Linked DNA regions of Arabidopsis thaliana. The protein of the gene in region 4 interacts with the protein of the main gene of each other region in a pairwise test. Each region holds a gene or a part of one and is shown on either strand. Other genes may lie near its edges. The genes, in order: NAC057, HTA10, ZFP5 and AT4G12210.

Region 1 (8,846 bases), on a different chromosome or scaffold from region 4:
TTGTTTTTTTTTTATCGGATTAAAATAAAAGAAAACGAAATTGTTCTTTGAGGAATTTGTTTTGCCCTTTTATAAGATTAAACCCCAAATCTTCAAAGACGCTACTCTCTAATTCTTAAGATAATCTCCAGAATCACGAATCTATCTCTCTCGTTTCTCTCTAATTCAATTCCAATGGATTCGCAAGTCCAGTTCTTTGAAGGTGTCGAAAAAAGAATTGAATTCGATTTTGCAGGAACGAATCTCCGCGATGAACTCAACCGAGCCGTCTTGGAGAAGATCGTCAAACCTGTGGAGTGTGTGATCGAAGGGGTTCTTTCCGGAGATCACGTAGACTCGTATCTACTTTCGGCGTCTTCTCTATTTGTTTATGATGATTTGGTAATCATAAAAACTTGCGGTGCTACCAAAATCTTCGAGTGCATCAATGGGATTGTTGCTGCGGTGGGTTGGAATAAGCTAAGATCCATCAAATATACCCGTGGGTCTTTTTTCCGACCCGATTTGCAGCCATACCCGCATCAGCGACCTTGTGACGAGAAAAGATGTGTTAGGCTCGTCCCTAAATCATAGTTCTCTTGGAGGAATTCAAGAGAAGACTTTGGGTACGACTCAACAATGGTTTATCATGAATGTCCCTTTGTCTTCTTCATCTACCACCGGCAAAAAACTACCAACGATTGAGATGTGCATGAGAGAATTGGATAGAGAGAAGGCTGCACAATACTACAAAGATAGAGACGACGGCAGAACCATGATTGATAAGTCAGGTATATAATCATACCTTGATTAATGTTTCTTGACTGATTTCTGCTTATTGAGTCTCCTGAGCTTATCTTTTTACGTTTCTTGTGTTTCGCTCTTTGCTAAATTGTAAATTGTTGCCGTGAAAAGTAGTATAGTTCTCTAGTTTCTTTCTTTCTGACTTTCATATTAACTTATCAGAATTGTGTGACTTTTCTCTTTTAGGTGTTGGGCAAATTTTCCCAGAGGCTACTGTTCATGCCCATGAGTTCGAGCCCTTTGGGTTTTCTATGAACACTGTAGAAGGATTTGCAATTTCGACCATTCATGTGTCCCCACAGCCAGAATCAAGTTATGCTAGTTTCGAAGCAGTTGGGTATGATATCAGCACAGATGAGAAGCTGAACTTGGTGATTGAAAGGGTCTTGAGCTGCTTCAGACCAAAGCAATTTACTGTGGCTATCTAAAATGGTGGAGAGATTTACCCCCAACTTCAGGGCTACAACTGTACGGAAAAATTCATTCTCCCACTTGGCCCAGGTGGTCCAGTCTCCTTTTTTACATTCTTGGCTGTCTAAGTCTCTGGTTCTTTAGTTAGGATTCTTAGGGTTTTTTTGGTTTATTCTGGAGTAATTCTTAGTCTTCTGTTTTGTTTATGACAATTTGTTTTTTGAAAATATATAAATGGAAGATTTTGACACATTGAGCCGTTTACATTACAGCCCACATTCTGTAGATTCAAAGAATTAAAAGTAATTGCAGGCTGCAGAGCATGACATGATATGATTAAGTTATGAACAAATCATACGAAACTGAACAAGTGACCAATGAAACAAAACGCTAAAACACATCAAATAGTATACAACAAGGTCTCAAATATTTCCCCACTGAGAAGACTTTTCTTTTCTGAGAGGGATTCTTAAGAGCTTCAGATGAAGAAGGGCGTTTCTTTGGATCAACATGGAGCAAGTGTGCTACTCTCCTGAGATATTAGAAACACAAACCTATTACACCATTTCGAATCAAATTCTACAACCATTACTGATTCCGGCGGCGAGCAAAGCCAATTCTGACGGTGAAGAGAGGCAAAATCTGGGCACGAGCAGCCGCAAATTTCCAATCAAATTATTCTCAGCCGATCTCAGACGCCATGACTGGAACGGGACAAAAGCTTAACATCCGACGACGGGTTGGAGAGGTAAATTCTTTGTCTTTTTGTTGTTTATCTCCGACACCGACAAGCTTAGACGTCAAATTCATAGTTTTTCTGTTGTGTTGTGTTGATGATTATTTCTGCCTTATATTGAACATTCAATACCCTTATGAATCTGTGTTCTCCTTCTGTAGTGCACCTGAAGTGGAGAAAACAATTTGAATGAAGCAGAGATATTTAGTTAAATCTGATGGTAGTGTAGGTGTTAACGGATATGTTTGTGAAGTGATGTGCGACGCTATGGCTGGAAATACGAAGATGTCACCAGTGGTGACTCACCACTGAGCTCCAGGTTCTTCTTCTTTCCTCTCATTCTCTCCCCATCTGCTTTCCACTTTTTTGCAAATGGTCATACATCTTTTATTTGGCCTATTTTTCAGAACCGGTGTGTAAATATGATAGCAAACTTGTTCCATGCTCCTGTTGGACAAGACGAGGCTGTTATTAGTTGTGGAATTGTTGCTTCATCTGAGTCTGCTGGTTTAGCTTTCAAAATGAAATGGCAACATAGGAGAAAAGCTCAGGGTCTACCTATTGATAAGCCTAACATTGTTACTGGAGTCAATGTTCAGGTCTAAATATTTACTTATTCTTATCCTCCAAACCATCACATTTGCTTTGGATAGTGATCTGTTTCTTTCAAAAATCAGTACATTTTCAAACTTTGTTTCATCCGCTCAGGTGTGCTGGGAGAAGTTTGCAAGGTACTTTGAGGTAGAGCTCAAAGAGGTGAAACTAAGTGAAGACTATTACGTGATGGACCCAGCTAAAGCTGTAGAGATGGTGGATGAGAATTCCATCTGTGTTGCAGCGATTCTAGGATCCACATTTACTGGAGAGTTTGAGTATGTGAAGCTATTGAACGATCTCTTAGCTGAGAAGAATGCAAAGACGGCTTGGGAAACTCCTATTCACGTTGATGCAGCAAGTGGAGGATTCATTGCTTCCATGGGTGAAGAGTATCAATGTCAGTGATCATAAGTATGGACTTGTGTTTTATTGTTCCGTGATCACCAAGCTAAGAGTCATCAACCCACAAACCATAAGCAACCATATGGTTGGTGTAACGACAATTTGCCTCCAAATGAAATAGTGACAGTTTCACAAATGCCAATATAGCTTAATATTAATGCGTAAAGTGGGAAAAAATATTTTTAGTGTCAATAAGCCCAAATATATTAAACTTTTAGTATATATATTAAGGGGCCCAAAATGTTTTTCCCTAGGGCCCTAAATATCGTTGGGCCGGGACCTTACTGTACTACTTACCACTACAACCGCAGAAAGCAGCCCAAATTCCATGTATGTTTCATTTTCTACTTCATAGTCACAAACTAGCTTGAGAGTCAAGTTAATGTTGCTGATACAGAGTCTTTCTTTTACTCTCTAGCTAGTTCCATATTTGTCTGTATGATGGTGCTAACTGCTAAAGGTTGGACTAGGCGATTTGCTTCATCTGATCACATGTACATGTAAAGGCAGATATATGTCTATAACTATATAAGTATATATTATGCTAATAACGAGATCAAACGTGATCCTTTTTTTATAACGAAGGAATTGCAAGGAGCTTGCAAGTAACGTTTGTCAAGAATCTCCAAAAAAGATAAAGCGAAAGATAAAAACAACAAAAAGAAGAACGTCCAGAAAAAAGAAAGAAAGAGAGAGATATAATAATATAAGTAAAGAAAATTTTAATAATTAATCAATCTAGTGACCATATAAGTTATTAATGTATGCGGTCAAGAAAGAAGAATATATATATATATATATATATATATATATAAGTTTGAGTAAGAGAAGATAAATGAGGTGAAGTCATAAGTACGTACCCAAGTCCCAATATTGTTAATTGTCTCTGAGAGTTATAATGGCTCCAGTCGGATTACCTCCAGGCTTTAGATTTCATCCGACTGACGAAGAACTCGTAAACTATTATCTGAAAAGAAAGATCAACGGTCAAGAAATCGAGCTTGATATAATTCCCGAGGTTGATCTCTACAAATGCGAGCCATGGGACCTCGCAGGTATGTATGTTTTACATTTTTATTACATTGTTCAACAACTATATATAATTCCTTGTTCTTGGCGAATAGTCTTATCGCCGCGCTATATTGATATGAACTGATTTTTAGTTGTTGTGATCGATAAATAAAACTGTAGAGAAGTCGTTTCTACCAAGTAGAGATCCGGAGTGGTATTTTTTTGGGCCACGTGACCGGAAGTATCCGAACGGGTTTAGGACGAACCGAGCAACGAGAGGTGGGTACTGGAAATCGACCGGCAAAGATCGGAGAGTGACAAGTCAAAGCAGAGCGATTGGGATGAAAAAGACTTTGGTTTATTATAAAGGAAGAGCTCCTCAAGGGATCCGTACGGATTGGGTTATGCATGAGTATCGTCTCGATGATAAGGATTGTGACGATCCCTCTTCGCTCCAGGTAACTGATCGTTCTTTCATCACTCGATATCTATTTACCAAATGATAGTAATTAGTAAATATATAGTTACTAATATGATCAAATTGTAACTTATATAGAAACAAAAAAGATAATTACGTAGAGATGCATGGCTACTAAACAACAACAACAAAAAAAAAGTAACCAACTTGAGATTTCTCCATTTCTTATAGTAGATACGTTAATAGAAAGATATGTGTGAATTTTCATATACTTTTTAAGATTACCCTGATTTAATGATACATATTCGTTTCTTGCTGTAAGCTGACAAAAGCTTAGGGTTTCGCTTTGGATCTTTACTGCGACGAAGACAAAAGCTATATAGAATTATTTTTTTCTTCAAGAAAAGCTATATCTTATTCATTAATTGTTCATTATATAAGACAAATATTCATGTTCTTTTTTTTTTATCACTCATACTCATGCATGCATGTTCTTTTATTTACTTATGACTTTCATATACTCGAATGAATACCAGAAGATATTTATTCAAGTATATTTAAACATTCTAAGATTGAAAATATAAATGGTTTGCTGCAGGACTCGTATGCATTGTGTCGGGTATTCAAAAAGAACGGAATATGTTCGGAGTTGGAATCAGAACGGCAATTGCAAACGGGACAATGTAGCTTCACAACGGCGTCAATGGAGGAGATCAATTCGAATAACAACAACAATTATAATAATGATTATGAGACAATGTCGCCGGAGGTGGGAGTTTCCTCCGCCTGCGTTGAAGAAGTAGTCGATGATAAAGACGATTCGTGGATGCAGTTTATAACAGATGACGCATGGGACACGTCATCAAATGGTGCAGCTATGGGACATGGTCAAGGGGTTTATTGACTAAAGAACAAAGAGTATACTGAGGCAACAAGAGAAGAGTATAGAATTATTGGGCAAATAACGTAAACATTTAGGTACACTATTGTTGTACTTATATATAATCGTTGAAATAAAACCTGCGGGTTGTTGGGGTAAAACTTAACTGATTTTTTTCTTTCTAATTGTTGGAATGTGTGGGAAAATCACGTGATTTGATTGGATATTGTATTTTTTTTTGTTTTTGTCTTTGTTTTTCATACTCCCTTTTTTTGTTGGATTGATCATTTTATTATCCATTGATTTGACGGCTCTATGGATCACTGGTACCTTTGTTCTTTTTCCTCACATGGGTATTAACCAGATCAACTTAATGGATTGGGAAAATTTGGGTTTATACTTTTATTTGTTCTCTTCTTCTTTTTTCAATTATACAATAACGTGAAAACCAAGTCACACTCAACTTTATAGGTCAGATATTTGTTGTCAGTGAAATTTGGCAACTGACCATAACGACAATCGATAGGGAATTCCAACAGACATCCAATGTATTTTAATTCGAACTTTAATGTATGGTAATAGTCTAATAGAAAAAATTTAAACTATTATCCTATTTTACCAAAAAAAAAATCAATGATCATATATTCCCCAAGAATATATAAAAAAAGTAGTGAAATGTTATCAAAACAAACTTTAATCATATTTTTTTGGATGGCTTCTCTATATTGTATAAAATAACAGGACTAAACAAGTAAAAGCAGAAAGTGAGGGGTTTGATGAAGTGTAAATCTAAGATTCTGATTTCACTCTCTTACAAAAAGAAGATCCCTTGCCTTGCGATCAAGGAGATTGGTCTTTCTTTCTTTTCACGCATCTGTAATACTTGCGATCATCTCGCTTTCCTCTTTCACACTTTGTAAATTCCAATAACCAGAAAAGAACATCACTACTTATACATTTCATATCCCTTTAACAAAACTATCTATATATATGCTCAGCTTCAACTTTGAAAATCCGCTCGACATATATATGTTTGGCGTTTACAGGTACATCTTCTAATGTGGAACTTCTCTAAATGTATCTCCTAATATGAAATTTGCAAAATGGGTCTTTAAAACCCTTGACGTGATAAAGTGACTTGTATGTTCTTCTTATCTTGTAGATATAATTTATGACAAATGTATTGTTGACTGATTCTTGAACCTCTGCGATGTTGTAGGCCTCTTAAGAATGAACGTTTTGTCTAATCAGAATCTCAAGAACGTTTGTCTCACTACAGTCCTCATCTACATGGTTTCCCCAAAATAACGTTTCGAAAGTATAACTTTGTTTTAGGCTGATTAAAATATGATACTATTAATAAAATATGATACTATTAACCCAACATTAAGAAAAAAGTTGTAAAAAATTCAAGAAAGCTCATGTACTATACATCGTCGTTTATTCAGAGCATATAAGAAATTTAAACAAAATCACCTTTCAAAGAAGGGAAAAGGTATTATAGCTGCTCTCTGTAACAAGGAGAGCAGAAATTGCTTTTAAACTTGATGTGATTCAAAAGGAACCGAGATCAAATTAGGAAGATAGACACAGTAAGAAAACTGAAAAATCCCAGAATTGATCTGAATCTTCTTGAACATATCTCCCCTCACCATATAGATGCAAGTAGCTCCAGTTTTGTAATCGCCACAACACATGATTATGGTCTTGTCAAAGATGAAGTAAGTAATACCAGAAAATTAATGGAATAGCAAGGGAAAGTCAGGTATTGACAGTGTCAGTAAGTGTAACCACACCACGTCATCCTTATTACTAATGTTAATCTTGTCCTTTGTTACCCAAATCTCTGTATTCATATACGAGTTTGCTTTAACAATGCAAATCGATCGCCCTTAAATACAGTGATGACAAGTTTATCTAGTGAGCCAGAAACACTTCTCACAAGGAGGCAAAAGAGCATCGATATTTCCGTGGAGGAATCAAAGCTTCCGAGAAAAATACTCACGAGTCTCTTGTAAGCAGTCCAATACAAATTTCCGTTCAAGGAAACATATTCACTTAAACCTGCCAACATTGGCCAATTTTGGGGAGTCAATGAACTTATCGAGTGAGACGCACACTCATAAATACTTAAATGAACTTATACTTGATTATTTATAGAAAATCACGTTTCCATATTACAACAATATTTGTTAGTTGACACTTAAATGATCTCATCCCTGCATAAGCAGAATCTCGTAGATATCTGTCCTAATGTTCAGTTCCTTGTCCCGCATCACTTCTTGTAAATCTGACATCTCTTTTGCCGTCAAGACTGATCCCAGCTTCCCAAACCCATCGAGCCATAGTTTCTTCGACCTGCCATGTCATTATGTTAAGAATTGGTTCTCAGACAATATGAGAAATCTGGAGAAAGAACTCTAGATTTTTCTTACCATGGGCATGCATTTATAGCTCGGAAATAAATCCTTCTAGCTGCTGATGGATTGTCCGCGATGTCGATCTCATATGCTATGTAGCAACGCCATAGAATAACTGAGTTGTTTTGTGTATCTTGTGCCAATGCCCTTTCAAACAATCCGCGGATTCTGTGTGATGAGCCTCCTTTACTCAATTCATAAGAAAGTGCAAATAGCCAAACAACGACAGACGAATTCCTGCATGATTAGATATACTAAACTTGCTTAGCACTGAAATGTCGATATATATAAACCTTGTTCTAGGAGGAAGGCCATAAACATGTAACTGTTAGTCTTTAACCATTTAAGCTAAGCATCTCTATCAACATTAGGCAGTACTCCTGAGATCGGAGGGTTTCTTATTAACAAGTTTGTGAAAAAGCTTACTTGCGGGAGTAGTCATCGAACATCATTCTCAGTTTATGGGATGTCATCCGGTGATTACAAATGTCCACCAAAGCTCGATAAAGTTCAGGATTGAGAGGATACAGTTGCAGTCCCTCTGATATGGGCTTCCAAAGTTGTGACAAAGTTAGATCGTCCTGGTGTCTCTGAAGCATTCTCACATAATAATTGAACAAGAGTTCAAGTTGATGACTTTGACTTTTTCTTCCTGAAAAATTCACAATAGCCCAAATTCAGATATACAGTGGATACATGCTTTTAAGAGAAATTCATATGGAAAATAGTAAGTGAACCCAAGAATACTGATCATGGAAATAAGTAAATAACCTGGAAGAACAGAACTGAACATGTGCTCTAAGATCTCAAGAGCACCAGGAAGGTCATTTGTTAACTCCTCAAATAGAGCTGCCGAACAAACAAGCGCTGCTGATTGATCATCTGTGACACCATGAGACCATGTTGATTGTATCTTCTTAAGCTTCTCTCTGAACCCCTGGCGTGCTCTAAGAATTTGCATGCTTGAAGACTGGGAAGTATAAGGACTATAAGCTAGACCACTTCCCAGGTAGCACAGAATATGCATAGCACGAGATGATGATTCTGTATCCCTACCACTGCCGCTACTATTGGCTACTTCCGATTCAGCATACCATAAACATAGCAAAGGAGTGTTACACTGTAATTCCTGCAATCATAGGTGAAATAAATTTAGCATGGCTTTTGCAATGTCATAAAAATCCAAAG
Region 2 (7,753 bases), on a different chromosome or scaffold from region 4:
TGAGCGAACGTGAAGCTGCACTCTTTATGATTAATGTATGTACCGATGCTTATAACAAATGGACTACTGCTGGATATGACTTGATTCAGTATTTGCAACAAGGCGTTGAGAAGTAAACGAGAATTTTTTTAATAAACCAGAGTAGAATCAAAGTAAAACAAAGTCTTTATTTGAATCAATGAAAGATAATATCCTCAGCATAGGCACATCGATAGTAAATATCATAACATTGGTAAGGGAGCTTCGTTTCACTACCAAATCTTCAAGACTTGGGCATATGCTTAGAAGCGTTTTCACAGATTCATCACTTGAAAACTTAACCAATATTAAGTGGAGACGTTTGAGACAGATCAAACGAACATCACGTGGAACATCCTTCAAACTTAGTTTCTCTAAAGTAACAGTATCAAGTTGTGAAAACATGTAAAAGCTATTAGGCAAATCGAAGGAATTAAAAACCATCTCGATTTTTAGCTCTCTCAAAGATCGAGCAACTGCGATGTTAATCAAAGGTTTGATGTCTCTACTTGGACAAGGAGGAGTCATCTTGAGCTGCATGGTCTCAACGCTTGGTCTTTTGCTAATAAATTGCACAAACTTTCAGTAAGTTCTACCTATGGATTCACCATCATACCTTAATGTTTTCCCCTCCTTCCAAAGAGATCGCCATCGTTTTGACAAGACACTTGTGACTACCACATCTTTACTTGGAAGGGAAGAAAGTATATTCAATAACAATTCATCTGAAAAGTCACTGATTGAAGCCATAATTACAAATCGGTGAAAAGTGAAAAGTTCACGAAAAGTACTCACTAGATTTATTTAGAAATCTATTTTTTTTTGTCCCTAAGTGTTTCTTTTGTTACAAACCTCCTTATGAGAAAATTTTGGCAAATAATTGTTTTAACCAATCAGAAAATACCATTATACAAAAATAATCACCAATTACATTAATCCTTTAATTTCGAAGATATCGGCAAAAAGTTGGAAGCGAGAGAAAATTATTGTTGGTTTCTTTGCAAATATAACATGCACAAATCGAGAAATAGTCCAAATGTTTTAGTAAAAAAAAAAAACCACCAATCACAATATTTGGTATTTACCATTCAACTCTTTTTGTTTTGTTACTTTACGCCCTCAACTATAAATACGATTATTCCTCAAAATATTTTCATTTATCATATAAGAAAATAAAAAACCGTGACTTTCAAGTAATATCTCAAATATTGTTAAAGATTTTAGTCCTCTAGATTAGAGCTGAAATAAAAAACTGTGATTTGCAAGATATATTGTCAAAGATGATCAGTCATCTAAAGGTTTCAGTTATCTACACAACCACAATAAACGATTGCAAATTTTCAATCTTTGGCTATCGATCTATATATATAGAGGATGAACTAGGCTTTCAACTACTATGGAACTGTCATGTAAGGCTTACATTAAAATATCTTATAGTCAAGGATCATGTGTAGAACTATGCATATTCATAATTTGCCATTTCCTTAGTTTTTGTTAATCATTTTGTTTTTTTTTTGGTCGCAAAATTTCATGTTTTTTAAAAACTTTTTCAAGGATTTCATTTGTAAGCTTTTCTTCATTTTTGTCTCAGTGTATTAGTTTTTTTTTTTAATTGTCTCTCTGTGTACTAGATAGTTATCATATTAACACTTACTAGTTTTATCTTTATGAATATGATTTCACATCTTATTTTGTAGCGGAACTGGCCTAGTGATATAGATAGAAACTGGTCTTGTGTATTGGTTTGTCTAGTTTATATTATTCGTTTTCTTAGATATATATATTTAATATTAGTTTCGTCCCAAGCGTCACTCGAACCAAAAGGATGGTGACTTCACGAGCCATATAGTTATGTTTATGATTCTTGTCTGTACCGATGCTTATAACAATTGGACTACTGCTGGATACGACATAATTCAGTATTTGCAACAAGGCGTTGAGAAGCAAACGAGAAATTTATTGATAAACCAGAGTAGACTCAAAGTAGAACAAAGTCTTTATTTGAATCAATGAAAGATGCATATTATTCTCTTTGTAAATAGCTACAAAGTTGTTAATAACACAAGCGTTTAATCAAACACAAGCTGGCATTTCTTTGAACCTCTGGCCATACATTCTAACTCCTTCAATATCCCATGCTTTTCTGCAGATTCTAAGTAGAATATCGCCTTCTTTAGACGACTCGCGTTTTCTAGAATGTACTTTGCAACTTCTCTCTCTTGCTCTTCACCATTGTATTGCCTCCACTCAAATATCTCAAGATATGATGATAAACATATGGGAACATAATCTGGTTGCTTCCATGGTTCCATCGACTCGTTGTACTCGACACAATGTTTTCGATACTACAGAACAAAGAAAATATACATTCTGTCAGTGTCAATAGGCCTTGGAGAAAGTGGAAACATGATACAAAAAAGGCAGCAGAGAAATCTAGGGAGGAACCATATACCAATTTGAGCTTGAGAACTCGAAGTTTTGGAGCATCATCGAGTATACAGGTAAGTAAGTTCCACCACTCCGTAGAACATAAACATAGCTCCAGATGGTCAAGATAGACTAAGGAAGTCCCAGTAGGAGGATACGGATCCGGATTCTGCAAAACATAGAGAGTAAGAATTCAAATAGAAAAGGCTAGATTCATGACTAACAACCAAAAAAGTTTGTACCTCTGAAGTGACAGAACACAGAGAAAGATATTGGGTTGAAGCAAGAGATCCTAGAAACTTGTCAACACACTTTTAATCTGAATATAAAAACTAATCAAAGATATGAATACATAACTCCTTTTGCTATTACAAATTTCCATTAGAAGAGATAAAGATCAGTCATTAACTAAGTAAGTAACTAACCCAATTGTTAAGTTTTTTTAAATGAATGATGGGACTTGATTCTCTTTCTTCTAAAGTTTGATTTGTTCTTCTACTATAATGATCAGCGACCTTACGAGCAAAATTCTTTGTGTTATCATCCTCTTTTAAAATCTCAGAATCACCTGATGAAAAACCAGAGAGACACAATGCACACAACTCTCAGATATAAAAGATTGAAACTTTTAAGTTTGATTCAGAAAGCAAATTACAAACCACAAAGATTCATATCATATAATGTCAATCACTTACTGGAAACTTCATATAAAATCAAAATTGAAAAAAAAAAACTGAATTCGAATTATGAAAATCAAAAAGGAATGAAGCGGGAACAAAACCTTGGGGATTTAGTTTGAATCGTGATGAAGAAGGAAGATCAGAGCTTGAGGGAGATTCGAAATTTCCTCGCTTCATAACAAAATCTGAGAAATAGATTTGAAAAACAGACAACACTAGGTTACAAAAACTGTTACTCGATGAATAAAAAAAGAGGACTTTTTCAAATCTTCACACACAAATTTCACAAAGAACCCGGATTCAATTTTTGAAAATTGGGCTCTTTGGTAAAATGTAAAACGTTTGGGCCGAAAAAAGAAGAAAAAAACAAAACTGTAAAGAGGCAAAGAGGATATTTTGGTAATTCACTCTGACGCGGATCCTGAATCTCGAATTATTCACCGTTGATTATAACATTATCTAACGGTGATAAACAGCGATCCGCGTAGTTTCTTCTTATTGGTTAAGACGAATCTAAAACAGTATATAAACTCTGGAGAAGATGGAGAGAGTCCATAACAACAAATTCGATTCTTATAACTGTTTCCCTCTCATCTTTACACAAAAGTATTCTAATCGATTTCAATGGCGGGTCGTGGTAAAACACTCGGATCTGGGTCTGCGAAGAAGGCAACAACAAGAAGCAGCAAAGCCGGTCTCCAATTCCCTGTGGGTCGTATCGCTCGTTTCTTGAAGAAAGGCAAATACGCCGAACGTGTTGGTGCCGGAGCTCCGGTTTACTTAGCCGCCGTTCTCGAATACCTCGCCGCTGAGGTAATTCCTCTTCCCTATTCTTCAAATTTTCGATCTTTTAGTTCAATTTCTATAAACCCTAATTTTGACTGATTTTGGGGAAATTTTGAAAAATTAGGTATTGGAATTGGCTGGAAACGCAGCGAGGGATAACAAGAAGACGAGGATTGTTCCAAGGCATATTCAATTGGCGGTGAGGAACGATGAAGAATTGAGCAAATTGCTTGGAGATGTGACTATTGCTAATGGAGGTGTGATGCCTAACATTCACAATCTTCTTCTTCCTAAGAAGACCGGTGCTTCCAAGCCATCTGCTGAAGACGATTGATTAATCAACCAAATCCACTCTCTTGTGTTTTTTGAGTTTTTAAGGCTTTTTAAGAGTAATTTAGATTAGATCTATGGTGAAGAAAGAATCTATCTTCTGTGTTTTTTGAATTGAATTGAATGTTCATATGCTTTCAATTTCTTATGGAATCAAGATTTTAACTTTTCTAGGTTTTCGAGTTATGATGATGAAATTCTTAGTCTTATAAATCACTAAAGACTTGGGATTTTTGATTGGTTGACATAAAGAATGGACTTTTGAGTTAAATTTGGGAAAGCTACTGGGAATGACATCATGAGAGGTGTATAATTGAGCAACTATGACATATATTAAAAGAGATCTGAAGGATTGATGATGATTGGTGGGCCAATAATGTACAACATCCATGAAAATGAAAGATCAAAATTATATAATAGAAACCGATTGAGAGAGAAAGAGAATCCATGCCTAGCACTATACCATATCTCTTTTTTCTTCCGTTTTTCCACACATTGTCTCTACCTTTCCCTTTTTCAGATTTGACCCTTTGTTTTCAAAAGAAACGATTTTTAGTAGCCGCCGGGGAATCAGGAGAATGGTGTCTCCGGAGAATACGAACTGGCTTAGTGATTACCCTTTGATTGAAGGTGCTTTCTCTGATCAGAACCCCACTTTCCCTTGGCAGATAGATGGCTCAGCTACTGTCAGGTTAGTTTTTTGTTAATCAGATTCAAGGGTTTCTGGGTTCTGTGTTTTGTTTCTTTCACCATCTATTAGTTTTGTTTCTTGGCTTTGGACTTTTGGTGTTTTAGGATTGGTAGTTATATCTGGAGAAGTTGTTATGGATGTGTGATCACTCAGTTGGTTTTTAGATGCTCTTGTTGTGATAGAGATATTGGACTTCTGCATAAATCAATCCTCTGTTTTTTTTTTTGTCTCCGTTTTGCTTACGTTCCTCTGTTTCCTAAAGAAGTAGACGAATCTAGATCTCTACCAATTGCGAAAGGAAGGTTCTGTAATTAGTATCTGGAGAAGTTCTTTATGGAGTTTGACCTTGTTGATCACTCAGATTGCTATTAAATGGTCTTCTTGTGATAGAAATATGAAAGAACTGAGAACCTAAAGTATAATGCTTTTTCTCTCTGTTTTGCATCCATTCCTCTGTTTCCTTAAGCAGTAGACGAATCTTGCTTCTATTCTGGAATTCTACAAATTGGCTGTAATCTTTGTAATTGATCCTTCCTCTTGTGTTGATGTGATCTGTTCACAGTGTTGAAGTGGATGGCTTCCTTTGTGATGCAGATGTGATCAAAGAACCAAGTTCAAGGAAGAGGTATCAAACGCTATTTGGTCAAACCTGCGTTAACTAATGACTTTCTTGTTCTTGCTATGCAATATTGGAACCTGTTGTAAAGTTTTCCTTCTTACTGCTGCAGGATCAAAACTGAATCTTGCACTGGTTCTAACTCGAAAGCTTGTAGGGAGAAACAAAGACGTGATAGACTAAATGACAAGTATTTTCTTGCTTTCTCGTCATTCTCTTCTATCATTTACCTTTTGAGTTCTTAATCTTTTGGTATGGTGCTTTGTCAATAGGTTTACGGAGTTGAGTTCCGTATTGGAACCTGGGAGAACTCCAAAAACAGACAAGGTTGCTATTATCAATGATGCAATTCGCATGGTGAATCAAGCAAGAGATGAAGCGCAGAAACTAAAGGACTTGAACTCAAGCCTCCAGGAGAAAATCAAGGAGTTGAAGGTAAAAACTGAAAACTCCTGCAAGATCTTTAGCTTGTCCATTGATCTTATGTATATGCCAATATGTAGGATGAGAAGAACGAGCTGCGTGATGAGAAACAGAAGCTTAAGGTCGAGAAGGAGAGAATCGATCAGCAACTGAAAGCTATTAAGACACAGCCTCAGCCTCAACCTTGTTTCTTACCAAATCCGCAAACACTCTCTCAAGCTCAAGCTCCTGGAAGCAAGCTTGTCCCTTTCACAACTTATCCCGGCTTTGCAATGTGGCAATTCATGCCTCCTGCTGCTGTTGATACCTCACAGGACCATGTCCTTCGTCCTCCAGTTGCTTAAAGCTGCTGCTTCTCTCTACTACTATTAACGGTTCTGTAAGATTACTTCTTACGCGCTTTTTTCTGATGTAATGATTCTCACATTCTGTGATTGGTGACATAGTCCACTGCAACTTAAAATGTAAAATTGAAATAAGCTTGCACTAAAAATCAAATCTCATTGTGCAAAAAGTTGGATAATTTGGAAATCATTGTTTTACAGATTGTGGATTCAGAGGAATATGTAAATGTGTAGGAAGTTTCTTTGAATTGATTGATTGATTCAAGTTTAGCATATAAAAGCAAAGTTTGTATTTTTCAATTACACAAACTCAAAAAGGATTTGCTTTTTGCTTCCTTTTGTGAAATGTTCTTAACCCAAAGAAACTTTTCATTGAGACCTTCTCTTGTTCATGACTTTCTTCAACAGACTCTCACGACCAGGAAAAGGACTTTGAATCTTTGGCTCAAGTTGCTTCTCTACATCTTCTAGCTTTCCCAAAACACCCTTCTGCTCACTTCTATTCACTGTCTTGCCATCATCTCTCCCAAGACTCTGTCTCATCCTTTCTCTCCTCTGTTTTCTCCTCCATCCATTCTCATCTTCCTCTTCTTCCTTCTTCTTAATCTCTCTTCTTCTTACCATTTCTCCTCTCTCTTCTTCTTCTTCGTTCGCCTTCCTTAACCTAGGAATCCGACCACCTTTGCTTGTCCCTAAAAGCTCAAAATTGATTTTGCTCCAACCAATCTTATCTTCATTATCCCAACCAAATCTCTCACTAATCTCCAACAACATCGAAACAGAGTTTACCTCTTCTCTACTCTTCCTTACAGAAGTTAAAGCTCTCATGCTCTCATCACTTCCATGGAGGATTTTCTCTGCAAATTCCCACTCAGTTCTATCTTTATAAACATCGTCTTCGAGCACTTCATCAGCAAGCTTTGCCCAATACTCAAAAACTCCTGCACGAAGATTCTTTGAGACCCATTTAAGATAAGAAGAAGGCAAAGTACCAAGCATTTTGCCCTTGTGTTTGCCGAAGTCTATGATTGTGTCTCTGGCGGCTAGGGTTTCGATGATTTGAAGTTTTTTGATTAAGGGTTTAGACTGATTGGTGGAGAAGATACCATTAGATGAAGAAAGATTTCTTCTTGGTCTGAAAGATGATGATGATGAGATTCTGAAGATGGTTTTTGTTGTTACTGCAGCAGAGTGAGGACTGTGGAACAAGACCACCGAGAAACTCATTGTTGTGTCCCCAAAATATTGTCTATTTTTTCTTGAATCCTATAAAATACATTTAGGGGGTGTTATTCGTTAATGGATTTTAATAGAATTGAAATTCAACACTAATTTACTGTTATTCAACTAATGATTCTAAATCTAGCTTTAAAATCTAGTATTATTGGAACTCATATTTGTAAATCATGTTTAATAGATTTTAAAGTTTGGTGTTATT
Region 3 (8,285 bases), on a different chromosome or scaffold from region 4:
GTTTCAAGCTTTATAGGGTAACCAATGAAGCAAAAGTCTCAAAGTTGAGAATAAACGGAGAAAAATCAAGCAAAAGAAACACAAAACCGGCTTCGATTCCTGTACTTACTCGCACTGATTACAATTCCTAACTGTAAAATTAATTCTTTCGTCGGAAGTAATGTTTGTGACAGAGAACGAACCTGAGGATGGTGAGTGAAGCGAGAAGAGAGGTAAAAGAAGCAGCTTGATGTGTGTGTGTGTGTACCAAAGCAGAGAAGCGCGCCCTAAGTCAACCATCGGTCAAAACCTTAAAACCCTAAAATTCAATAACCGACCGGTTTGTTTCTTCTTCACATTTCCCGGTTTGTAGGTATAAGACGGGTTTCTTCTCCATTAATTTTTAGCGGTTACATAAAACCGAATTGAAAAGCAAAGAAAAACTCAATAACAAGATCAACGGTGAATGATATTAAACAACAACAAGAAAACAAGATCAACGGTGAAATATGTTTCATATCCTAAAACGTCATAAGTTACTGGAAGTGATAAAAGAATGGGTTCCTGCACACGACGTGAATCGAATATTTACTATTGTGCAAATAATGATGCACGCAAATAGCCAACTATGCATTAAATTAAGAAAAACGAAGATTTTTACTTGTCTCTTAGTACACGTTTTATAATCACAGTTTCTGGAAGAAGGGTCTCTGATCGGTGTTCTACCAAATTAATTGTCTAGATCAACTGATTCATTTAAAATCAATTTAAATTTCAAAAACTTACATCTAACGCCAATGTTTTAATTATTAGATCAAGAATCATTCAAACTATTAAAGTAACCGATAATCCTTGTCCTTTTTTTTTACGTAGAACATGTTATTGTCATTTTATAAGATACTAATATAACTTAGTCTTTACCTGATATAATAATGTATGTATTGCGTTATGTATAGTTTTATTGACGGTCAAATATAACGTTTCACAATGACCAATCAATAGTTTTTGATAAATAAACTTGCTTTTAAGAAAGCAATAATGTCAATAATAAAAGTTATAATGGAGGCATATATATGATATTTACTAAATTATAATCCATAATTGAAAGAAGAATGGGTGGTACAGATGGCGAAGTCTTGTTCAACAAATGCTTTAATCAATTTAGATCAACAAGCTAACCTTACCTGGCTTGGATCTATCTTTGTCTCCCACAACATTATATAACATTATCTCTTCTTTAAACAAAAATAAATCATTTCAAAACTGATAATTAGTGGTTTATTGTTTTAAGTAGTAAGCAGTCTATCCTCCATTATGATTACATTTCACATGCCATGATAAAATGTTGCATGCATGTATGATAATAACTAAACACATTTAGGTGGCCACTTAGATTTATTTTATTTTTAGTTAGGGAAAATTATCGGTTTTCGAAGCCATATTGACAAGTGTTAAATATGGCATACTAGAACACAATGCGTGACAGAGTCCTCCATTCTGTGATTATAGCCTTCACTTCTTCCGTCAAAAACCTAGAATTTTCAGAATAGTAAAGGAAAAAAGAGATATGTAGGTTGATTTCATATTTTTATATGTCGTAAATGTACAAATTTATCTGTCATTACGTAAATTCCAACTCGGTCATACGCTCGTGTATGATTTACTCATACGTAATGCAAGGAACGATGTTTCAAACTTAACAAAAACATATTTACCAAAATTAGGAAACATACGAATTGGACAATAAAGGAATAATACCTTTTAAAAACATTTTTTTTTTTAATTAAATGGGATAAGCATCCAATACACACATAAGCAAATGGAGTTCCGTTGGTGTCGGAAGTGACATGTGTAGACAAAAATTAAAGGGACCTCCAACACTGGATGATGGATCTTAAGCTTATCATTCCAATCACGCAAATTAATTTAATATACAAACCTGCCGACTCCATTTATTATATGTATTTTTAAAGCTGTACAGTTACGAATTGATGCACATATTTGTTTGGAGATTTAATGGGAAATGTCGAATCAATCTTACACCAAATCTATTTGAAAGAATAAGATCTAAAGTCAAGCTAGTTATATCCACCACTAAATTCACTTATTCTGTTCGTTTAAGGAGTATTCAGAATTTACAAACTCTTCTCATTGTCTCCGAAGAATCACAAGTACTCGTCTTGAGATTGGTAAGAGACATCAGTTTAAAATCTTATTTTTAAAATGTATATTCTTATATTAATAGCCATGACATAAAATCGTCTTTACAGTGTATACAAAAAAAATACAACATTCATAAAATCGTTGGATTGTACCTACAATAAGTATATAGGTTATTAAAAAAAAACATCAAGTTTATATCATTCAAATTCACATATGTTTTTTAGTCTCACGTTAGATCATATTATAACTTTTGAGATGAAATTTCTAACAAATTTTTTGAAATTTGACTATAAATCAAATTGAGGCGTGTACGAATTGCACGTGTAAGAACATATGTACACAACTTGTAACGAATACTCACCTTGTAATATAAATACATGCATATGTACCAATAGGAAGAACGTACCCATGGCCATATACACTAATTAAGCAACAAGAAAGTGATTATGTTCAAAATGTTGCCTCCATCAATTACGCAAATGCACCAACACGGCACACAGTATTAAAAAAAAAAAAAAAAAAACACAGCACACAATGATACAAAGAGATTTATGGATTAACCTTGTCAACTAGTATATGTACGGTCAGCAAACTAAGGAACAAGAAAATGATTTGCTTCCATAGTACGATTTATTGTTATTCCATAATTTATAAATGCTCGATCCTCTACCTGACTTTATTTTGTATCGGATGACGATGATGATCGAGAATTTTCTAGTAAAGCCATCTAATAAAGTTTTTTTTCTTTTTTTGAATAATTCCACAACATCACTTGGAATTATTTTTTTCTTCGAAAACATACATAAACCTAAATAAATTACAAAACTCAAATTGCATCAAGAATACTATATGTCTCGTTTTTTCCCCTTCATGATCCCAATGAAATACGCCACTATAGTACATATAATCTTAATCATATATCTCTCTTTAATTTGTTATGCCGCATCTCCGGCAAAACCTAGATGAAGATCCAGCGAGTTAATACTTCTCATCTGATCAGAACGAGAACTCAGATCTCTCTGGAACTGAATCATGTTCGGTCGAACACCGTACAGCTTACCCATCTCACCGCTTTGTTCATTAAGATCTTGGCACGTGTCATTATTACCGAAGTTAATCTGCGACGACCTCGACGACCAATCTTCGTTGTACACACCCATCTGATCATTATTCACGTGCATGGAGGAGAATGCACAATACGACGGCGTTTTGTATTGTCTCTGAAATGACGTCGTTATGGGTTGTTGGTGGTTGGTGAGATAATAGCCGATGCTGGCTCGCCGAGCTTGAAGCTGAAGCCTCTTCTTCTTCAACCTCTCCTTCTTGTGAGCGTTTTGGTGACCTCCTAAGGCTTGAGAATTTGCAAACTCTTTACCGCAGTATTGGCACTCGTGTCTTTTCATCACTGTTAACGACGTCGTGTTTGTGGACGAGCTCACGCTTTCCGCCGTCGTGATTTCCGGCGTACGACTGCCGCTGATGAGTTCGAAGCCGAATAGCTTTATCGTCTTGTCGGAGGACGAACCTGAAGAACTTTCGCCAGTACGAGACATTGTCGGATTTATAGACATATATGTGTGAACGTATGTGTTTATCGATGGGTTTAATTTGCTTAAGGAGATGTGTAAATGATCTTCTTTATATAGCAAGAGAGAGACGGGGGATATTTAGTTTAATAGTTTGTAACTAATGATGCATTGCATCTGTAATAGTATAATATATTGTATGTCTAAAGAAATTTTATATTGTATGAAGGGTTTTTTATATTAGTCATGAACAGCATCAAGTTATAGTATTTTAGGGTTTATAATAAAATTAGTTGTTTGAATCTAAGGTGTGACGAGAAATGATCTTGGAAAATAAACCTTGATAGGTACAATAAATATTACACTAACATGTAATAGGTTTTATAGAGATATATGTGGATACCACGCGCATATGCATATATGGGAAAGAAAAAGGGCAAAATGATAAAACGGGTTAGAGAAATCTTTTAAATACTATATATAAAGACTTAACTTGTCAACTTGTTTTATCTTTTATCTTATGTATTATACTATTATATCTACATTTACTTAAAATTGATCAAATTTAATTTATTTTAAATATTGTGGAAAAATACTTTCTGTTTAGTGCGTGAATAAAATAGTTAGATTAAGTTGAGATATGATGAATAAATAAATATATTTGAAAAGGCATGCAGCGATCACACCACTTGTGACAATTAATACAAAAGTTATATTCTAAGCTTAAAGAGAACATTAAGATGTTAATATCATATTATTGATCTAATATCAAAAGTCAAAGAAAGATATGAAGAAATAAGGCTAACCAACTTAGGCCAAAAAATATAATCAACATGGAAGGTTAAGTATAATATTTTGATCCCATAATGATATTAAATTTCACTATGTATTTGAATAACGCATATATCCATCATAAATTTAAGCGAGCAGATGACATTTTGTATCAAAACGTTCACTCAAGAGCATATTGCAACAAGAACGAAATCAAACGAATCGTCGTCCCTTGTTCTCTAACAAAGTTAATAGTCTACTGGATATTCTTTTTATTGATGTGTTTTTATGTAATTATCATTGTAGATTTTTGAAATTTCCCATCAATTAAAGTTGCTCGCAGAGAGAATTGATGATGGAGCATGAATTGAAGCTTTCTTGTAATTTATCTCAATGTCTTCCACCTAAACCAAATCTTATTTGTCTAATTACTGTGAAAAAGAAAGAAAAAGCCTATCTTGACCATGTTTAATGAATGTTAATTACTTATTACATTAAACAGGGAGAATAGTTAGTTGCCAAATGAAGGAATACAAGAAGTGGGCAATGATGCAAGCATCTATACTATTTAACAAATAAAAATTATATTCATAAGTCTAATCTTCAAAACAAGATCTTGGGCAAATCTTCATAAAGCATGAGAAGACAATATTTTATACAGAAAGAAAACTGATATTAAAGAAAGGTATAGATTATTCTATTTTCAGGTGAATCAAGTCATGGGATAATCTTATTTTAATACAAATAAGTCTAATGAAATGGCATTTGGTTTGGACAGTTGTTCCAATTAAGGACCCCACTGCTCTGTAACTTAAAAGATAGATCAAGACAATTAAGTGAAATAACAATAATTAATCCTTATTAGGTGTTATAATTATATTCACTCGTACAACCTAAGATCTCTGATTGGTAGACTTTCTTGCCACCAATAGGTGTCTCATGCAATCAAAGCCTCTTTCCTCTCGCTCAGGTCCTTTATTTAAAATTTTGAAGTAAGAAATTGTAATATTATATCAATCGAGGGAAAGAAGAATTCCAAATAAGTATGCTGTCAACGATAATCTTTTATTTATCCAATAGCATGTGGAATAATTTTAGCTAATTATGATTTTCTGAAAGTTTCTTTATGGTGGCTACTAGGTGGGTGGGTGGGTTGGTTTCTATAATATTTGATATACTGAACTTATATATATATATATACACCAATTATATATATCAACCTCACCTTCTATATTAATTGTTACATATATATTTGTATATATTATATTGCCATCGAAGTATCAAACAACTTTACACTAATTCAAAAACCATTCTGAAACGTTAGTTAGTAGTATACGGTGTCCGTAAAACTTATGCAACTTGACCATGTTTAAGTTTTAACTATAGTCTTGACCAAAAAGGGTTAGCTGTCGTATTTGTCTCTTTTAAAGGAAAGTTATATCATATGATCATGGGCTGTGCCAGGTACCGAAGTACGTATCACATATAATAATACATGCATTGAGACATAGAAAGAATACTAATTAACCAATTCTATTTTTCTCATAACAGAGACATTGTATACAACATATTTAGTTATTTACGTATATATAGATTTCTTCTTGTAAAAAGATTTATTGAGAGTTCCAAACACGGGTATACATGTGCAAGTGAAAAACAAAAACTTGCACATGCATGTAGATTGTATTAGAGATGAATTGAGAAATTTAAGTAGGACTAGATTTTATTATTTTATTTTATGTAAAACAGGTTGAATTTACTAACCATTTTAATTATGTTGAAGATAATTAAGTGTATCCAAAGAGGGACCCCACCTTCCCTATTAATAAAACCTTTGCTTCTCTTCTAGACGACTCCAAGAGCACTCTGATAGTTTATATGTAAAAAGAAAAGAAGCCCACCAAGAATGCCAAGACCAGGGATTAAAAAAAAAGTCCACTAAACTTAAATAAATGGTTGTTACTTAAAAACTATTCCAAAGGTTGTTGTTACTTAAACTATTCCAGCGAGCATGCATAATAAGCTAACAACTATAGAGTATATATAACTTGTAATATCCATTATAAAAAAAAGACACATGTAATATCGACGAGAAAAGATCAAAAGATTACGACGCAGATAAAGTAGGATAGAATCCTAGTTTATGTACGTAAACTATTGTTCTTGAACGATGCAGATCTCCAAAGTCAGCCAAAATATCTATGACTTTGATAATTCTATATTTAGACAAATTGCAGAGATTTTTTCTATAAAAAAATAGGCTTGAATCGCAGAGAATAGTGTGGACTAAAAAGCCTGGTTTCTTTAGGTATATGAAATTACATTTCGTTTGGTTAAATTATATTCATTTTTGTTTAGTCTATATTTTCAAAAGTGACAATTACGATATCCATTTTGATTGAAAAGTGTTCAGGGCTTTGGTTGGGTTTAACTGTCCGACCCTAGTGAATATTAATATGGATCAAACACAGACACAATTGGGCCTTCACTAAAATCTTCAGTTTCGGGCATAAAATATAGAAAGCTTCACTACTCCGATTGCCAACCCCCTTTTAGAGCTAGCGCATGCATGTTCATATATTGTTGAGATATATCTGTTAGTTGATTGTTATGTCAAAAATCTTAACTTATGAAATTTTATGTGCTCCTTGTTCTTGACGTTTTTGAAACATTTCTTGCATGAGTGTGTGTGATAATAAGCATAACACATCGAAATAGAAGTATAAACTTCGCAAATAATAATTAACGACTAAGAATAAAAAAAAACTTTGCAATATGGTGTTAGAGCCCACAATTTTCTTAAATTAAGACAAACGAGTAACTTCGTTTTCATCGAGATCAACATGGCCTCATATTGATGGTGAAATTTTTGATACATAAAGCTAGAGAGCACAATTTGGAAGAGAATAATTACTAGCTCACAAAAAAGTCTAAGAATCAATAGGATAGGAGATATAACTCAGACAACATAAGAGTGATACCAAGGAAGGAGAAAGACCAATCTATGTTATCCAACAAATGCTTTGTAGATTAGATATGAGCTTATGTTGACATTAATCTGGATTTTCGGATTTGAGATTCAACTATATTTCCATGTACGTATAGACTAAAATTGAGTTTCTATATGATCCATTGATCCTGTAACAAAATCTAGACGTCAAAATGAAAATATTCAAGTGTACATGATTTTGAGTATTGTATAATTAGGTCAACTAATCAATTACTTTTATTTCTACAAATATATTATACTATGTAGAAAATATTTACAATAATGATTAGAATATAAAGATGCTCCAAACCTCAATCGAGTACCAACATAAAATTAATTAAAGGGAAAATGTCAATGTCTTTAATTTTGTAATTGATGTCCAAAGTTCCTAGAAAAAAGATAGATTACGATTTTATGTGCGACACGTTGATGACTACTTTTATGGATTTTTTTGTTCAACCCTCGATTTTGAGTTGACATCATGAAGATTTGATCCATCATTCGTTGGCCCATATCGTTTGAAAAATCAATTCTCAAATCAATCTTAAATTTCGCGTAATTATTTTATAAAAATGGGCAATATATCCATTGTAAGATTTGTCTATTTCACGCGTCATTTTTCTTTCTACTTTGTTAGATGTTTTTGGTTAATGTAGAAAAACGATTAAATTAGAGACACTATCAATTAGAAGAAACAAAAGTCTTTTGATAAAACTCTACTTTGATCATCCACGACTGTGATCGATAACTTCTAAGCAACCTTGAAACCTGATCTTTTGAGCTTTAACTTTAAGTAGGAAAATGTCATAGTATTGGATTTGGTCGTCTTTAGTTTACATTCAATCTGGAATAAATTT
Region 4 (7,390 bases):
AAAGAAGAAGTCGAAAATCGTAATGAGAGCAAACTGAGAGAAAATTGAGAGAGAAGAGAGAATTGTGAATAGCTTTAGTTAGGGTTACGTAGTGACAGAGATATATAAAGCGTGTTCACGAAGAAATTTCCTTTTTTTATATATGGGCTTTTAATTTGGGTCGACAATTTAACTTGGGCTTTTAGTCCTGATGGATTATGGGATGAGATGCATAATCTTGTTTATGGCTAATTAGGAGAAGTTTGGTTCTTAATTATGTGGTGTGGTTTTGTTTAAATATGCTTGGTTCAATTCCGGTTAACCTTTGGTTAACTGTTTTGTCTCTTCCTGTTTTGTTCTGTGACGTTACTGTAATTTCACTGATAATGCAAAACAGAGAGACGTCGTTTGTTTGCAGTGATGGCTCTGGCTTTTACGGAAACTTCAGTACTCTTTTCGTTTAATTTCATTGTAATTCTTCTCATATAATAGACCTGTGTATGTTCTAGCTTATGATAGAGCACTGTAAGACAATTTACGTTTTTTGTTTTAGTATTTTTTTTTGTGCACAGAAGTTGTTCGACGAAATGACTGTTAGACAGCTACTGGTATGATACAAGTTGTAGACAAATACTATATGACTACTTCTTTAGCTAGGAGGTTTTACTTGAGAGAAAAGTTGCATAGTTTTAGAATGGGCGAAAGCAAGTCTGTTATGGAGAACGTTGATGAGTTTCAGTGGTTGATTGATGAACTAAGTAATGCTAAAGTAGAGATATTTGATGAAGATCAGGCTATATATTTGATGATTTCTTTGCCAGAACAGATTGAAAAGTTTGATGGGAGAGGTGATTACATTTTGGGGAAGACGAAGATCCTTGCTCGTTTTGAGATTCTTGATGTGATTGATGCTTTAAAGATTGAGGAGGATGAGAACAAATCTGTTGGAACAGATGAAGGTAAGAGTCATTGTGTAGCTTTGAGTCTAGATCTAGAAGAGAAGAAGAGAAAGGCAATGAGCATGATTGTTCAGAGCGTAGAAAATCAGAATCTGCGAAAGAAACTTATGAAGGAGAAGACAGCTGCTGGTATGTTATATGTTCTCGACAAACTCTACATTACTAGCTAGATCTGCTGGTAGTGTAGAGTGTAGGACTGGCAGGACTTACCTACAATATAAGCTGTGTAGTTTTAGGATATATGAAAGCCAGTCTGTTGAGGAAAACATCGATGAGTTTGAGAGATTAGTTGAAGACGAAAGCGATACGTTTGCTGATTTCTTTACCAAATTAATTTGATGACCTTACGCTAGACGAAGTGATTTGTGCTGTACTATCCAAAGAGTTCCAAAGGATATAAAGAAACTGCAGAGGAACTTCATGTGAGACGCAGGTCTGTTAGTAGAGATAGGTCAAAATCCAAAGGAGAGAAAGGGGCTTGCTGGATTTGTGGGGAAGATGGCCACTACAAAAACGACTGTCCATCTAGGAACTCTGAGAAGCCGAAGGAACATGCTTATAAAGCACAAGAAGCATCTGTTCCAAGAAGGAATAATGCTTGAGCATTTTAGGAAGAATTATACTTTGTGGGAAGTGCCAATGTATGTATCTCTGTAAGTGTCAATATTTCGTAACTTTGATTGGTGACTAGCAAATATGTTGAAGTAGCTGAAGTATTATCCAAAGAGTTGAAATTGCATAAGGATATTATAAAGACACACTGCAGAAGGACTTCATGTGAGAGGTGAAACAATCACATTGAAGAAGACACATATGAATCATGATTTAATTTCAGCAACAGCTTGATGAAGGGTTTTGGTTATTTTGTTAAGAATTTAAGAGTTGCAACTTGCAAGTGAATAACTTAAAACCGACAAAGTTTGTAGTTTTTTGTTGTGATTAAAAACTTCTCTAATTGAGTAAAACTCTTAAAAACAACAAATTACATTCAATTTCTTCAGCGTGTGTGACACAAAATTAGAATTTTTTTCTATCGAAAACCCTAATTTCAATCTTTTTCTAACTTCTAATGGAAACCATAATTTCAACCTTAATACGAAAATTACATGAAATTTTCATACATAAAACCCTAATATCAATCTTTGGTTCCAGTCATCGATCGTAGAGCTCCGTCCGACACAGGGGACAAGTGTTTTTACGCATGAACCACTCCAAGAGACAGGGATTGTGGAAGACATGAGAACAAGTCATGCGTGTGAGGTCGCTAGGTTTTGGACCGGAGACTAGATTCTCAAGACAGATTGAACAAGACTCTGTTTCCATCTTCAAACTCTTCAATTCCTCTGCTTTTATCCTTCCTAGTAGAACTATCCTCAAAGATTTCTTGTTGTTTGACGTTACCGAGACAGTCCGGTAAGTAACTGTGACGACCACGGTGATGGTAAAACCGTTTCGTCCAAAACCTAAGTCGATAGCCGCCGTTGAGATCTCTGAGGCTAGGTCATCACACAACCAATGGTGGCTAGCGAATCGGGTACGGAGAAGTGATCGGATGTGGTCGTGACTAGAACTACTGAGATTGATAGTGTCGAGACAAGATAGAGTAGCCGGAGTGGACCGGCGGGTTTGGTGATCGGTTGTTTGGTTTACAAAGATCTCTTCAGATTTGGTATCGATCTCAACGATGACTGAGTTTGCATGTGATGGAGAAGAGAGTTTCCTTTGAAGATTGGTGAAGCGAAATTCCACTTTGCGAGAATTCATGTTTTGAAACGGAAAGAGAAACAGAGAAGTAGAAGAAGAAGACTTGGCAAATCGTAGTGACTAGCGAGAGCAAATTGAGAGAGGAGAGAATTTGTGAAGCTTTAGGGTTACGTAGTGAGGATATATATACGCGTCTTCAACGTTCAGATATTTTAGGTTCTAGTTTCCTTTTTTTCTCTGTCACCTAACAATTTCCTTTTTTTTTAAGAAGTTTCCTTTTTTCCTTTTTAACAGTTTTATTTGTAGAGTTTGATTTGAAGGGGTTTTGGTTATTACTTATTAGTTTAAGACTTAGCAATAATTATTGGTAAGTTTTTAGTGGGTTCTTAAATTAATTTGAGAATAAAATTAAATGCTAAAGGATGTATTAACTTAAGAGGGCCTCTTATACAAGAGGCGAAAAATGATGGTAAGAGACGATGATGTGGCAAACTATGTGTGGGCCATGGGAAAATACAAACTTCATTCTACGAAGACTAATATCTTAAGATGTGCAATGAAAACAAATCAAAATCCTTGAAAGGCTTAAAGCCACAGAAAAGTAAATCAAACTAGTTTCAATACCTCTATGTCAAGAACTCAATGCAATCCAGAGACTTAAAAATCATACTTTTGTTGGCGACTTGATTAGATTCTGCTGGGATAATAAGCTCTGACTGCAAATTGAGGACGAATACTTTATTGAGCAACACATGTACTTCCAAATTGTATTATAGCCATATTTAGCTCAATACACTCCCTGTAACACAATATAAGTAGGTCTCAGCCTCAAAGTCTAGCTTTTTAACTCTAAAAATGCAGAAAGCAATCATTTTTTTCTCAAAAATTTGTTTTGATTATGAACTCTTAAATACCAATTATGAATCTCTTTTATATCTTTGTGTCAATACACCAAACACCACCAATTACTTCATCGCATATATTCCTTCTCTCCACAAAACCACACATAAACCAAAATCATATCTTTTTTTTTTTAAGAATCCTAACTTAATATACTATCATTGAGGATGACTAAACTTAAAAATCTTACCCAAACTCTTAACTACCAAATTTTCAAAATCTATTCCTAAATTATTGCTAAGAGCCATTGTTAATAACCTCCCATTAATGATGGTCCAATGATCTTATTTAAAACCCTTAAAAGCACAAAATTACATTCAATTTCTGGAAGCACAGAGCGAATGAAACAAAATTAGATTTGAAACCTTAATAAACAAAATCACATAAAATTTCCCCAATATAGAGCGTACGTGTGACACAAGTTATGCAATCAGTAGATGAAACCCTAATACTTTCAATTCTTAGAACAAGTCATGCGTGGGAGATCGCTAGGTTTCGGACTGGAGAGATCGTGGAAACAGATGGAACACGACTCTGTTTCCATGTTCGAACTCTTTAATTCCTCTGCTTTTATCCTCTCTAGTAGAACCATTCTCAATGATTTCTGTGTCGTTTGAAGTAACGGAGACGGTCCGGTTAGTAACTGTGACGACCACGGTGAAGGTAAAGCCGTTTCGTCCAAAACCTAAGTTGATTGCCTCCGTCGCGATCTCTGGGGCTAAGATATCACACAAAAAATGGTAGCTAACGAACCGACTACGGAGAAGTGATCGGATGTGGTGGTGACTAGAACTACAGAGATTGATAGTATCGAAAAAAGATGGTGAAGCCGGAGTGGACCGGCTGGTTTGGTGACCGGTTGTTGGGTTTACAAAGATCTCTTCAGATTTGGTTTCGATGAAAACGAGAACTGAGTTTGGTTGTGATGGAGAGAGTTTCCTTTGGTTGATGAAGCGTAATTCCACTTTGCAATATTTCATGTTTTGAAACGAAAAGAAAAACAGAGAAGAGATTCAAACAGAGAAGAAGACGACTTCGCAAATCGTAATGAGAGAAAATTGAGAGAGAAGAGAATTGTGAATAGCTTTAGGGTTACGTAGTATAGTCACATATTTCAGGTTCTAGTGTCCTTTTTTCTTGTCATCAAACAAATTTCCTTTTCTTTAAGAAGTTTCCTTTTTTCCATGTGTTTTGGGTCGATAATTTACTAAATATTGGAGACAATGTTAATTCCAGGTGGATATATGTTACTTATTTCTTTTAACTGATTCTCGATTAATTTTAAGAGTAGTACGTAAAATAGATCTTTATATTTTTGGCAACCGATATTAATTAGAATTCAAAATAGTTAATCCCAAAAAATATTGTTTACATATATGGTATAATACGGTTTGATACGAATCTTTCGTGCTAAATTATCTACTTTTACATTTGCACTATGAAAAATTAAAAATAAAGAAAAGTTTGTGCATTTTTCTGCAATTATTCCAAATATATTAAAAATATGGGTAATTCGGTTGGGAAAGACAGATCAATAAAATGAAAGAAATTATATCAAAATCCAAATATTCTTGGAAATTGATTCATACCGAAATCTAATCAAAACATATGTGAAAATAGATGTTGATGAGTCACATGATGACCATTAATTATTACATACTTTACGTCGTTAACTGAGAATGACTGCTACAATCACGGACCATTCACGGCGTCAACGTTGACAGGCAGTTGATATAGGAGACTCTGTTATCTCGCCGTTATATAATTCCTATCGAAAATCAGAGCAAAAAAAAATAAAAAAGATTAATTGCAAAGTTGTTCGTGAAGAGCAAAAGCGAAATTAAATACATAAATTCGATCGGATGTTGAAAATCTCCGATCGGCGATGAAAGGCGTCTCTTCGACGCCCGGAGATTACGTCTACTTTAAATCTCAGGTTCCTCTTCACAAGATTCCCGTATGTTTCTTCTTCCTCTCTCTCTCTTTGACTTTTGATGAATTTTCGATTCTGCATTCTATTCGGCTACTAAATTAGGTTTAATCTCGAGCTTTTGAGGTTTTGATTTTTGTTTTTTTTTTTGTTGATTTTCGATTAATCTCATGTGGGTTTTAATCGTTTGGGTTTATGCAGAATTTTTTGTGTGAGTAGTTCTATCGTAAATGGGTTTATCCTGCTGAGTTTGGGTTCAAATTTTATGCTTAGAATTTTAATTTTTGGGTTCTTGTCTAAAAGCAAGAACTTGGTAGTCTTTAGTTTAGTGATGGGTATTCTCCATTTTTGATCTTTTTAACTTCTGTAGATTCTTTTAGTGTTGCTTTTGATTTGATCTATGAGTAGCCTGTGACACACTTAGTGATTTGTCTTTGTTTATGTTCGCATATTTAGTTCTTAGCTCTACTAATCCCAAGCAACTATTGAATGGCTCTATAGATGTAATGTTTGTTCGGGTTGTGTTGCTTAGAGTTTGGAAAACTGTGATTTGTTAAGCATTTGTACATGTATGTCCACTGTTTCAAGCTTCGGAATGAAAGATTTCATTTTTTTTGTTTTTTCTTGGAATGTCATTTGCTCAGAGCATAAACAATCTTATAAATATCTAGCTTTATGTGCATGCTAACTGCAGATTGGGACAAAGCAATGGCGTTACTATGACTTTGGTCCAAAGACTGTTCCTCCGCTCATATGTATTCCTGGAATTGCAGGAACTGCAGATGTTTACTATAAACAGATTATGGCACTCTCTATGAAGGTTTGTCAAGTTCTAGTCTTTCAACAGTTATCTGCAAACAATCTTTTCTTAATCACAGGTAGCTTTAAACATTTGTTAGGATATGGTAACTTAGATGCTTATGTGTTGATGTGATCCTTGGGGACTGATTAGATATCTCCAAAAATGTTGAACTTATGTTGTTAAATCTGCAATTCCAGGGTTATCGGGTAATCTCAGTTGATATTCCACGGGTTTGGAATTATCATGAGTGGATTCAAGCATTTGAGAAGTTCTTGGACACCATTGATGTTCATCACGTAAGATCTCTTTAAGTTACAAATCACCATCTAAGTTCCTAAATTTTTTTATTGGTGCGGAAATATATGGCATTGTAAGTGATTGTACTTGACCATTCTTAATAGGTGCATCTCTACGGTACTTCCCTTGGAGGCTTCTTAGCACAACTCTTTGCTCATCACCGTCCAAGGCGGGTTAAATCATTAGTTCTATCAAATACATATTTGGATACTCGTACTTTTGCTACTGCAATGCCATGGGCTCCTTTGTATGTCTCTCTTATACGATTATTCCTTCTTTATTTTTATTGTTTGTGCCTAAGTATTTGTACTGACTCTCAACGCTTTTCGTGATGCTCTGTGCAGTGTCAGTTGGACCCCTTCTTTTTTGCTTAAACGATACGTCTTAACAGGAATTCGTGACGGACCTCATGAACCCTTTATAGCTGACTCTGTCGACTTTGCTGTTTCTCAGGTTGCTATCCTGATTATTTCATCTATGATATTTTCTTGAACGGATCTGAATAACATGTGGACAAGGAATTTTAGATAAACTTACCAGCTCGGTTTCTTTGGTTTACTCTGATTTAGGTGGAGACATTGTCGAAAGATGATTTGGCTTCCCGGTTAACTTTAACTGTGGATGCTGCTTCCGTGGGATCTCTACTACTCTCTGATTCTTCAGTTACTATAATGGATGTAGGTTTCGATTAGCTATATACGGGACTTTTCGTATTATCAATGCAAGTAATTTTATCGTTGTCTAACAATGCTGTTATGTCTTCCAAATCAGACAAATGATTACTGCGCAATACCACAACATCTTAAAGATGAACTAACA

Evidence for each region.
Region 1: the proteins of AT4G12210 (region 4) and NAC057 interact in a two-hybrid assay, tested with the Arabidopsis thaliana proteins (one large-scale study listed by BioGRID).
Region 2: the proteins of AT4G12210 (region 4) and HTA10 interact in a two-hybrid assay, tested with the Arabidopsis thaliana proteins (one large-scale study listed by BioGRID).
Region 3: the proteins of AT4G12210 (region 4) and ZFP5 interact in a two-hybrid assay, tested with the Arabidopsis thaliana proteins (one large-scale study listed by BioGRID).

The regions. Positions count from the first base shown.
Region 1 is NC_003074.8:6,060,552-6,069,397, forward strand, and holds NAC057 (NAC domain containing protein 57), read left to right. Parts: upstream 1-3,720; 5' UTR 3,721-3,827; coding exon 3,828-3,984; intron 3,985-4,120; coding exon 4,121-4,398; intron 4,399-4,956; coding exon 4,957-5,262; 3' UTR 5,263-5,629; downstream 5,630-8,846. Other genes in the region: AT3G17717 (S-adenosylmethionine decarboxylase proenzyme), read left to right, coding at 629-770, 970-1,211; AT3G17720 (Pyridoxal phosphate (PLP)-dependent transferases superfamily protein), read left to right, coding at 1,895-1,993, 2,338-2,529, 2,639-2,932; AT3G17740 (uncharacterized protein), read right to left, coding at 7,452-7,596, 7,674-7,895, 8,085-8,310, 8,430-8,787.
Region 2 is NC_003070.9:18,923,199-18,930,951, forward strand, and holds HTA10 (histone H2A 10), read left to right. Parts: upstream 1-3,612; 5' UTR 3,613-3,749; coding exon 3,750-3,938; intron 3,939-4,035; coding exon 4,036-4,245; 3' UTR 4,246-4,548; downstream 4,549-7,753. Other genes in the region: AT1G51040 (Protein kinase superfamily protein), read left to right, coding at 1-116; AT1G51055 (FBD-like domain family protein), read right to left, coding at 2,088-2,363, 2,471-2,614, 2,961-3,013, 3,105-3,117; bHLH115 (basic helix-loop-helix (bHLH) DNA-binding superfamily protein), read left to right, coding at 4,820-4,932, 5,037-5,234, 5,495-5,557, 5,661-5,738, 5,821-5,983, 6,052-6,315; AT1G51080 (golgin family A protein), read right to left, coding at 6,685-7,542. UniProt on the Arabidopsis thaliana protein: Core component of nucleosome. Nucleosomes wrap and compact DNA into chromatin, limiting DNA accessibility to the cellular machineries which require DNA as a template.
Region 3 is NC_003070.9:3,445,162-3,453,446, reverse strand, and holds ZFP5 (zinc finger protein 5), read right to left. Parts: upstream 3,757-8,285; 5' UTR 3,714-3,756; coding exon 3,078-3,713; 3' UTR 2,221-3,077; downstream 1-2,220.
Region 4 is NC_003075.7:7,279,218-7,286,607, forward strand, and holds AT4G12210 (RING/U-box superfamily protein), read right to left. Parts: upstream 2,703-7,390; coding exon 2,091-2,702; downstream 1-2,090. Other genes in the region: AT4G12220 (uncharacterized protein), read right to left, coding at 4,031-4,522; AT4G12230 (alpha/beta-Hydrolases superfamily protein), read left to right, coding at 5,428-5,499, 6,167-6,292, 6,472-6,570, 6,676-6,818, 6,916-7,024, 7,141-7,248, 7,343-7,390.